Arabidopsis thaliana: one gene and its partner. Each later gene encodes a partner of the first gene's protein in a complex. Each region holds a gene or a part of one and is shown on either strand. Other genes may lie near its edges. A codon is read from its position in the direction of its gene.

Region 1 (3,426 bases):
AAAAATGAAACTCGTGCTCTCATATGTTCCATAATCAAATATGAAGCTCGAAATAATTAACTGTACTTTTTTGTATGTGGAAATAACGAAAAGATGGTATACATGAGATTAGTCTAATTGAGCGAGCCTATACAAAGATGGGGCACAACTGCACAAGACATATGGATGATCCTTGAGCAGATGAGGGGCACGAATTTGATTGTCTCTAGTACAAAAGACTTTCCCTCATCAACTGAGAAGATACCAATATACACCGTATACTCAAATGGCCGGTATATATATATATATATATATAAGGTTTTATTTTTGTTAAACAAAAAATTAACTAACGATGTTAATACTTAATAGGAGCATAGTTCAAGACCGAAGCTTTATTTGCTAAAATGGTTATATATTGGTATCTGAGTATACAGTGTATACTGGTATCTCAGTTGTCAATGTGAATGACTGAATGGCATAACAACAACAATTATCAAGTAATAAAATGTGGAAAAAAAAACAAAAACAACAAGTAAGAAAATATAATAAATAAATATATATATAACAAACAAAAGGAGGCATCAAATGACGAAAATGACCACGACGTACAATCGTTCTCGTTGATATCATTCCAAGAAAGTGAGGGACCCCATGCAATCCACGTAACGGAGACATGCACAGTCTCTTCTCTTCGGTAATCGAATATTATTGTTTTGTCTACCAAATCGAATATTATATTGTTCATTTTAGTGATAGAACGAAAGAAATCACCGGATTGCTTCTTCCATACACTAATGTGCATCACCGCTCTTTTTCAGACTCATATATACGTGAATATTATATGTTTTCATGTGATGTATGAGAATACACTTTTACCAAAATGTACAGTGTACACAATACAAATCTATGTATATATGATTCTTTACTTTTTAAAACAGCATACATGTGTATATATGTAATATGTTATGTAAGTCGTAACAGTGTAACACCATGCAAAAAAGTCATTAGACTAATTAATTAAGGATCCATTTTGTTTCTATCCATCAGAAAAACTGTGATATAGACCAAATAATATATCGGGTTTTATTACTTCAATATTACTTTTTTCTATTTTGAAAACCAAAGATTGTTTTATTCTCCTATATTACTGTCGTCATTTTTTTCTTATTGTGTCAATTCATTACATCCTAATTTCGGCGGTTTTTCCCAGACATACCCGAAGTCTATATATGTAGCACTCTCCATAATTTGATGTGGCATTCATTGAAGTAATAAATTCAGGTATATCATAGTATAATCAAACCGGCCGGTATATCATTTGACTTCCATACACAATGAGCAAATAAGCATTTTTCCTCTTTGACTAGTATTTGATACACGTTAATATGCAATTGGTGTTTGTCACCTTAGTCAAACAAATATTTTCTTGTAAAAAAGAGAATATGAAAAGAAATGGAAAATTAAAGAGAAAAGTAAGCAAGAACCCTGCTTTCTTCCACCTCCCCTCCTTTGATTTATTTTATCACCTTTGCTTTTTGTCTAAGCTTTTAAGATTCGTTGATAATCGTATAATGACCCAATTACCATTACATGCTTTGTTCTTTCCATTGAGATTGTTCGTTCCACAGTGGCATGCCTACCGACAATTCCAAGTCTTTTCAGGGGCTAAGTAGTAACTCTATTCCAAAGAAAATTAGGAAATTGTTTTGTCACGCGTTATTCAAACCCTAGTCTGAATGCACTATATATGTCCATTCTCTCCAGGCGATGCTTGCATAAAAGGGTACTTTTGGTAATTTTATAACTTGTGACTTTTTTTTGTATACACATCTTTAACATACGTTGTTTTGTTTACTTTATTAATCAAATTAACGAGTGTGAAAAATTGAAAACCTCTCTCTTTCTCATTTTCCCTTTTTTTCTCTTTATCTCAAGCTCATTCTTCTTCTTAATAACTAGATCTCTCTTTCTTTCTTCTTATTTTTCTCTTCTCTTCTTTAGTTTCGCTTATCTCGCGGCTCTGACCAGCTCTCAAGTTGTTCGTTTCTGGTTAATGGATATTGAACCCTCTTGGGATCTTGGGGGGGTGGTTATTTCCTTTTCGAAATTGCATGGCAACATCAAATGACCAAACCAATACTAAATCATCACATTCTCGTACTCTTCTCCTTCTCTTCATCTTCTTATCCCTCCTTCTCTTCAGTAGCCTTACAATCCCCATGACTCGTCATCAGTCCACATCTATGGTTGCTCCCTTCAAGAGGGTTCTCCTCGAATCTTCAGTTCCAGCTTCATCAACAATGGATCTACGTCCAAAGGCTAGCACACGACGCAGCCGCACTTCTAGAAGGAGAGAGTTTGGAAATGATGCTCATGAGGTTCCTAGTGGTCCAAACCCTATTTCCAACTAGGTGAGTTGGCACATCTGGTTTTTTACCGGTGAGTTTGAAAGATAAGTTATTATAGATCAATATTATATGTATATTTGAGAAGCTTCTGATCGATGGAGATCAGAGAGAAGCTTCATTATTATGGACTTTTTTTGGATATGAATTATCAAGAATTTGGTATATATTTCTTTGGATCGATCAATTTGGTACCATTCCATCTCCTTAAAATCTTTTGTTCGTTCTAATATTGTTTTCTCCATCTATTAAGTTTTGAAGTTAGAAGTGTAAAGAAGAGATATATACTCTTTATTTATTCACATGTGACTGTGTGTATATGTAGCCACCTCTGCATTTCCTTCACAAAGTATTTGGGATATAGAATCTTTTATAATTGTTAGATTTGTCTAATGATTGTTTAATTATTGGTATAAAATGTAGACCATTAATTAATTAACCAAAATACTCTATTTGTAACTAAGTGAATAACATTGAAGATCTCGAGGCATTTCACAAATAATTGTTCGATCTAGTTTTGTCCGGTCAAAATTGTCTCCTTTCTGAATATAATTTTGAAAAGAAAATGCAAACCAGCTATATCCGATATCAATTATCTAAAGTAGTTTTCTTTTCTACCGGAAAAAGTAGTAATTATCTTTAAATAATATAATTCATGTTACAATGTACCCTCTAATATATTCATACCCAACCATAGGTTATACGATTCGACACACATTTGAGAAGACTGCAATTTAATTTCTATCTATGAATTGTTTTTTCACTATTAATCAAACTATATCAGAAAAATATGGATAAGCTTTTTCTTTCGTTGGGTTGAACGATCGACAAGAGACTGTAGGGGAGAAGAAAGAAAATTATTAGACAAGAATCGCTTCCTCACATAGCTTTTTGTCTTATCAAAGCATAGTGTCGTAGAAAAACCCAAAAGCTAAATAAGAAAAAGTGATGATTTGATAATAATAATCGTATCATTTCCTTGTTGTTGAATTATATGCCATCAATCATTTGCTTTATGATGTTCCACTTTTCTTCTCTTTCT
Region 2 (6,312 bases), on another chromosome or scaffold:
GATTTTGGACTTCTAATTAACCACACTTACAAAGTGATTATATTCGAACCAATGCAGTTGCAAACTATGATGCAACGGGTAAAGAATTAACGATATATAATAGAAATGAATGTGTGTGATTTCAAAATATAGTATAGCATTAAGCTCACTCACGTACGTACGGAGTCTTTAAGATATGTATGCATAAGCGATAATTTAGGTGATTAGTTGGGAAATAATGAATTCCTTTTTGGAACTTTATGGATCATCGAATAAATGTGAGATATTTAATTCACCCAACCTTAATGATGAAAAGTGAATCTATAATGGCAAGCAACCATCATGATACAAACCTTATATGCCCTTAAGTCAATTTCTACAGCTATAACTTTATATATATAGCATTGACAAAAGATAATTTATTTTTTTCATTGTGTTACTGTGTTTTTAGTAAAGAAAAGAAAAAATATCATAAGAAATAGACATCGTGACCCCAAAAAAAATACGTATAAGCAAAAGGCATAGCTTGGATTTCCTAGTAGTATCAAATAAATAAATGAGACAAAATATTTCTAGTAGAACGGGATTACGGGACCATGTGTTTGAGATATTTTATGAAAATCAATAGAAATAGTAAATAGAAAAATATGAGAATATAACTTGTGTTCATAATATGATGATGTATATACAAGATTAACATGTAAATTAAAGAATGAAGAGACCTAGCTCGACACATTATTTTTAGTAGAGCAGAACCAGGTGATTGAGATAATTCATGTTCATAATTATGAATTCACGAGTAAATAAACTCGTAAATATCAAGAATGTAAGAAAAACGATTTTTTTTTTCTTCTTCTTATAGTAGTCTAATAGTTGAAAGATTTATCATGTAAGCGTAGAATTTAATGTTGAAATTATCTCACTACGATTTGAATCATGCTGAGAATTAAGCTAATGCTTAGGATGGAATGTTGTAGTCTATCGTATAAAATAACTTTATTTTAGACTACGATAAAATTAAAATCATAAAACTCTCAACTCCAATCCTAATCTAATCAAGTTTTTCTAAGGTTGGTAGACAATAGTAGATTTTCAGTGATCGTAAGTATTACTTGGCATATATATAAACGAACTGAAAAATAAGTCCCAATGTAATATCATTTCACTAAAAGTAATAAAGAGATGCACGCGTATATATCTATACGTATGAATGGTCTGATGAAAGGATAAAAAAAGAATGGTGTAATAAATTTGTTATAAAATCTTGAATCTTTTAGGCGCGAGATTGTTGTTCGAAAAAAAAAAACCGTAATTCATATATATGTAAAAACTTATATACGCACACATATATGTAGTGGGCATGAGAGTTAGTGGAGAGACAGAGGATTTTAGCTTTATTGGATCCTGTGAGTGACTGGGATAAATACAGTCCACTTTCGCTTATTGTGTATCTATGTACTTGTACATCTGCATGCGTATACATTCCATTGAACATTCAATTTGTATGCAAAAGGTTTTTTAAAAAGAATACCATAGTGGAAAAAAAAGAATTTTAATGAGGAGAAGAAATTAAAGGACAAAGAAAAGATACTAGCAAATCTAATTAATCGGTTTTTAATATGAGTGGCATTGTGTGATTTGGTTTCTGATTTTACCCAATACTTGTATGATGGCAAAACAAAAACAAAATCTACAATTATAGTATATACGTTTTATTTTGGTTCATACTTAATAAAGGTAACAAACAGAAAAAAGTACTAGTATACGAAGTACAGTAATTTGAAAAAAGTAAGAAAAGTAAAAGAAGAGTGGAAAATGGATTGAGTTTTTTTTTTCTCTTTGCTTTTGTTTTCTTCCCCACACAAAAACCATAATGCCTTAACCAACAAAAGCCAGACCATTAGACGCACTCCACAATCATCACCTTCATCATGACTTCTTCTTCTCTTCTCTTCTTCCATCTTCTTCTTCTTCAAACCCTTAAATCCACCATTGTCAACACTAACACCTTTCTCAACAATATCACCACACTTCCTCAAACAACTTCACTTTAATTTCTTTCTAAAAGCTACGATGAAAAAGAAGAACATTTCTCCTTCTCTTGTTCTTCATCCCCTTCTCCTTCTTCTACTTCCTTTCTTTGCTTTCAATTCCTTAGCTCTCAAGTTTTCACCTCAACTCTTGTCTCTCCTTTCCCTTAAAACATCTCTCTCTGGCCCTCCCTCTGCCTTTCAAGACTGGAAAGTCCCCGTTAACGGTCAAAACGACGCCGTTTGGTGTTCTTGGTCCGGTGTAGTCTGTGATAATGTAACGGCTCAAGTCATTTCCCTCGACCTCTCTCACCGGAACCTCTCTGGTCGTATTCCTATACAGATTCGTTACTTGTCGAGCTTACTCTACTTAAATCTCAGTGGGAATTCTTTGGAAGGTTCGTTTCCAACTTCTATCTTTGATCTCACCAAGCTCACTACCCTCGACATCAGCCGTAACTCGTTCGACTCGAGTTTTCCTCCCGGAATCTCCAAGCTTAAGTTCTTAAAAGTCTTCAATGCGTTCAGCAACAACTTCGAAGGTCTATTACCTAGTGACGTGTCTCGTCTTCGTTTCTTGGAAGAGCTTAACTTTGGTGGAAGTTACTTTGAAGGAGAGATTCCAGCAGCTTACGGTGGTTTACAGAGATTGAAGTTTATTCATTTAGCTGGAAATGTCCTCGGAGGTAAACTACCTCCTAGATTAGGACTCTTAACAGAGCTCCAACACATGGAAATCGGTTATAATCACTTCAACGGAAACATACCTTCGGAGTTTGCCTTACTCTCAAATCTCAAGTACTTTGACGTTTCCAATTGCAGCCTCTCTGGTTCTCTGCCTCAAGAACTCGGGAATCTCTCAAACCTAGAGACTTTATTTCTATTCCAAAACGGTTTCACCGGTGAAATCCCAGAGAGTTATAGCAACTTGAAATCCCTCAAGCTTCTCGATTTTTCGAGTAATCAGCTTTCTGGTAGTATCCCATCAGGCTTCTCGACCTTGAAGAACCTCACATGGCTAAGCTTAATCAGCAATAACCTCTCAGGTGAAGTACCTGAAGGAATCGGTGAACTCCCTGAGCTTACTACATTGTTTCTATGGAACAATAACTTCACCGGAGTTTTGCCACACAAGCTTGGATCAAACGGTAAACTTGAGACAATGGACGTCTCTAACAATTCATTCACCGGAACAATCCCTTCTTCTCTCTGCCATGGAAACAAGCTATACAAACTCATCCTCTTCTCCAACATGTTTGAAGGTGAGCTACCAAAGAGCTTGACTCGTTGCGAATCTCTATGGCGGTTTCGGAGTCAAAACAATCGATTAAACGGCACAATTCCGATCGGATTCGGCTCTCTACGTAACCTCACTTTCGTTGATTTAAGCAACAACAGATTCACCGATCAAATTCCGGCGGATTTCGCCACCGCTCCTGTTCTTCAGTACTTGAATCTCTCAACCAATTTCTTCCACAGGAAACTACCGGAAAACATATGGAAAGCTCCGAATCTACAGATCTTCTCAGCGAGTTTCAGCAATTTGATCGGTGAAATCCCAAATTACGTTGGATGCAAAAGCTTCTACAGGATTGAACTACAAGGAAACTCACTCAACGGAACGATTCCATGGGACATCGGACATTGCGAGAAGCTTCTCTGTTTGAATCTCAGCCAAAATCATCTCAACGGAATCATTCCATGGGAGATTTCAACTCTTCCGTCAATCGCCGACGTAGATCTTTCTCATAATCTCTTAACCGGAACAATCCCTTCCGATTTCGGAAGCTCTAAGACGATCACAACCTTCAACGTTTCGTATAATCAGCTAATCGGTCCGATTCCAAGTGGTTCTTTCGCTCATCTGAATCCGTCGTTCTTCTCCTCAAACGAAGGACTCTGTGGAGATCTCGTCGGAAAACCTTGCAATTCTGATAGGTTTAACGCCGGAAATGCAGATATAGACGGTCATCATAAAGAGGAACGACCTAAGAAAACAGCCGGAGCTATTGTTTGGATATTGGCGGCGGCGATTGGGGTTGGATTCTTCGTCCTTGTAGCCGCCACTAGATGCTTCCAGAAAAGCTACGGAAACAGAGTCGACGGTGGTGGAAGAAACGGCGGAGATATAGGACCGTGGAAGCTAACGGCTTTTCAGAGACTAAACTTCACGGCGGATGATGTGGTTGAGTGTCTCTCAAAGACTGATAACATCCTCGGAATGGGATCAACAGGAACAGTGTACAAAGCAGAGATGCCTAATGGAGAAATAATCGCCGTGAAAAAACTTTGGGGAAAAAACAAAGAGAACGGCAAAATCCGGCGGCGGAAGAGCGGCGTATTGGCGGAGGTTGATGTTCTAGGGAACGTACGTCACCGGAACATCGTTCGTCTCCTTGGATGTTGCACGAATCGAGATTGCACGATGCTTTTATACGAATACATGCCTAATGGAAGCTTAGACGATCTTCTTCACGGTGGGGATAAGACGATGACCGCGGCGGCGGAATGGACGGCTTTGTATCAGATCGCGATTGGAGTGGCTCAAGGGATCTGTTATCTCCACCATGATTGTGATCCGGTGATTGTACACCGTGACCTGAAACCTAGCAATATCCTCCTCGACGCCGATTTCGAGGCGCGTGTGGCGGACTTCGGCGTCGCGAAGCTTATTCAAACCGACGAATCCATGTCCGTCGTCGCCGGTTCGTACGGTTACATTGCACCAGGTACCCTTAACTTTTTTTGATTATTCTTTACTTTCCCCAAATTTTAAATTTTGTACTTTTTTGTCCCTTTGTTTTTATTATTCGAATTTTGTCCGTTTGTTAAACATTCTTTTTGTTGGGATGACAACATCTGACAAATATGACTAAAATTTTAATTTTGTTTGTTTTGGTTACAGAATATGCTTACACTTTACAAGTGGATAAAAAGAGTGATATCTATAGCTATGGAGTGATTTTATTAGAGATAATCACCGGAAAAAGATCGGTGGAACCGGAATTTGGAGAAGGTAACAGTATCGTGGATTGGGTTAGATCAAAGTTGAAGACGAAAGAAGATGTAGAAGAAGTTCTAGACAAAAGCATGGGTAGGTCGTGTAGTCTTATAAGAGAAGAGATGAAACAAATGTTGAGAATTGCGTTGTTGTGTACAAGCCGGAGTCCGACAGACAGACCGCCGATGAGAGATGTGTTGTTGATTCTTCAAGAGGCAAAGCCAAAGAGGAAGACAGTAGGGGATAATGTGATCGTCGTTGGTGATGTTAATGATGTCAATTTCGAAGATGTTTGTAGTGTTGATGTTGGTCATGATGTTAAATGTCAAAGGATTGGGGTGTGATTGTTTATATATATATATTTTTTTTGTATTTGGAGTTTTTAATGTAATTGTAGGTTTTTTTTAAGGGTGTTACTAGTATATATGATATGAGTGTATTTTTGTTTCTTTTCGTTATATGAATATCGGAATGTTTCGAATTTTGCTTTGAGGAAGATCGATCATGCAACTACATTTTTTGGGCTTAAGAGTAAGAGATTTATATTTAAAGAGAGTTGGCGTCCATTATCTTGGCCCTATCATCAGCATGTGTATTCTTTGCATCGATTGCACCAATGTGGTATACTGTATATCATTGTCCTATTTTGGAGCAAACTAACATGCATAAAACAAAAAAAAAACTAACATGCATTGACATATAGATATTTTTCCTTGCATCTACATTAAAGTTTATATGTTAAGAATTTATGTTTCTTATTATATTGTTAATATTTAATCAGTTGACATATTTGGATTATATATCTTTGCCTATAGCTAGTCAAACAAAACTTATTTTTGATAAAAAAAAATTTAGTTTAATTTTTACGAATAAAATATTGGAGAAATATATTTCAGAGTAAAATTTAAAACAACTTTTATTGATGTAGGAAAATAAACTTAAAAAGGGTTAACAACATAAAAACATAGAACATGTTTTATTAGTCGGAAAACAGAAAGAAAAGAAAGCATGTTTCTTTTTATTATTTGTTTATCTCAACTAGTCACCCAAATCTAGGTACGCTTCATAGATTCTATGGTCACTTGGTGGAAATCGACAAGTTACTTGGCTGGAGCTAGGAACATATAGTGAATCTTTTTGTGACCACCAAGTGCTTGACCAGATGCAAACATTCTGTTACAAATTTGACACTCGTATTGTCGTCGAACTATTGGCCCATCTTCCCCGAAATAATTCTTGTCGGAAATCTTCAATCGCTTGTATTTGTGGCTCGTTCGATGACCACCTAATGCCTGATACGAA

What was found.
Region 2: the proteins of CLE41 (region 1) and PXY are in contact, whole or in part, in a crystal structure (PDB 5GIJ), measured with the Arabidopsis thaliana proteins. Residues at the interface, in NP_566754.1 of Arabidopsis thaliana: His88 (codon at 2,352), Val90 (codon at 2,358), Pro91 (codon at 2,361), Ser92 (codon at 2,364), Gly93 (codon at 2,367), Pro94 (codon at 2,370), Asn95 (codon at 2,373), Ile97 (codon at 2,379), Ser98 (codon at 2,382), Asn99 (codon at 2,385); in NP_200956.1 of Arabidopsis thaliana: Phe161 (codon at 2,533), Ser162 (codon at 2,536), Asn163 (codon at 2,539), Gly186 (codon at 2,608), Ser187 (codon at 2,611), Tyr188 (codon at 2,614), His207 (codon at 2,671), Ala209 (codon at 2,677), Gly210 (codon at 2,680), Glu231 (codon at 2,743), Tyr234 (codon at 2,752), Tyr253 (codon at 2,809), Asp255 (codon at 2,815), Phe279 (codon at 2,887), Phe281 (codon at 2,893), Gln282 (codon at 2,896), Leu301 (codon at 2,953), Asp303 (codon at 2,959), Ser305 (codon at 2,965), Trp325 (codon at 3,025), Trp353 (codon at 3,109), Asp375 (codon at 3,175), Ser377 (codon at 3,181), Lys397 (codon at 3,241), Ile399 (codon at 3,247), Phe401 (codon at 3,253), Arg421 (codon at 3,313), Arg423 (codon at 3,319).

The regions. Positions count from the first base shown.
Region 1 is NC_003074.8:9,044,689-9,048,114, forward strand, and holds CLE41 (CLAVATA3/ESR-RELATED 41), read left to right. Parts: upstream 1-1,844; 5' UTR 1,845-2,090; coding exon 2,091-2,390; 3' UTR 2,391-2,775; downstream 2,776-3,426.
Region 2 is NC_003076.8:24,723,583-24,729,894, reverse strand, and holds PXY (Leucine-rich repeat protein kinase family protein), read left to right. Parts: upstream 1-1,650; 5' UTR 1,651-2,052; coding exon 2,053-4,738; intron 4,739-4,914; coding exon 4,915-5,354; 3' UTR 5,355-5,558; downstream 5,559-6,312. Other genes in the region: AT5G61470 (C2H2-like zinc finger protein), read right to left, coding at 6,111-6,312. UniProt on the Arabidopsis thaliana protein: Acts with CLE41p and CLE44p peptides as a ligand-receptor pair in a signal transduction pathway involved in the regulation of procambium maintenance and polarity during vascular-tissue development.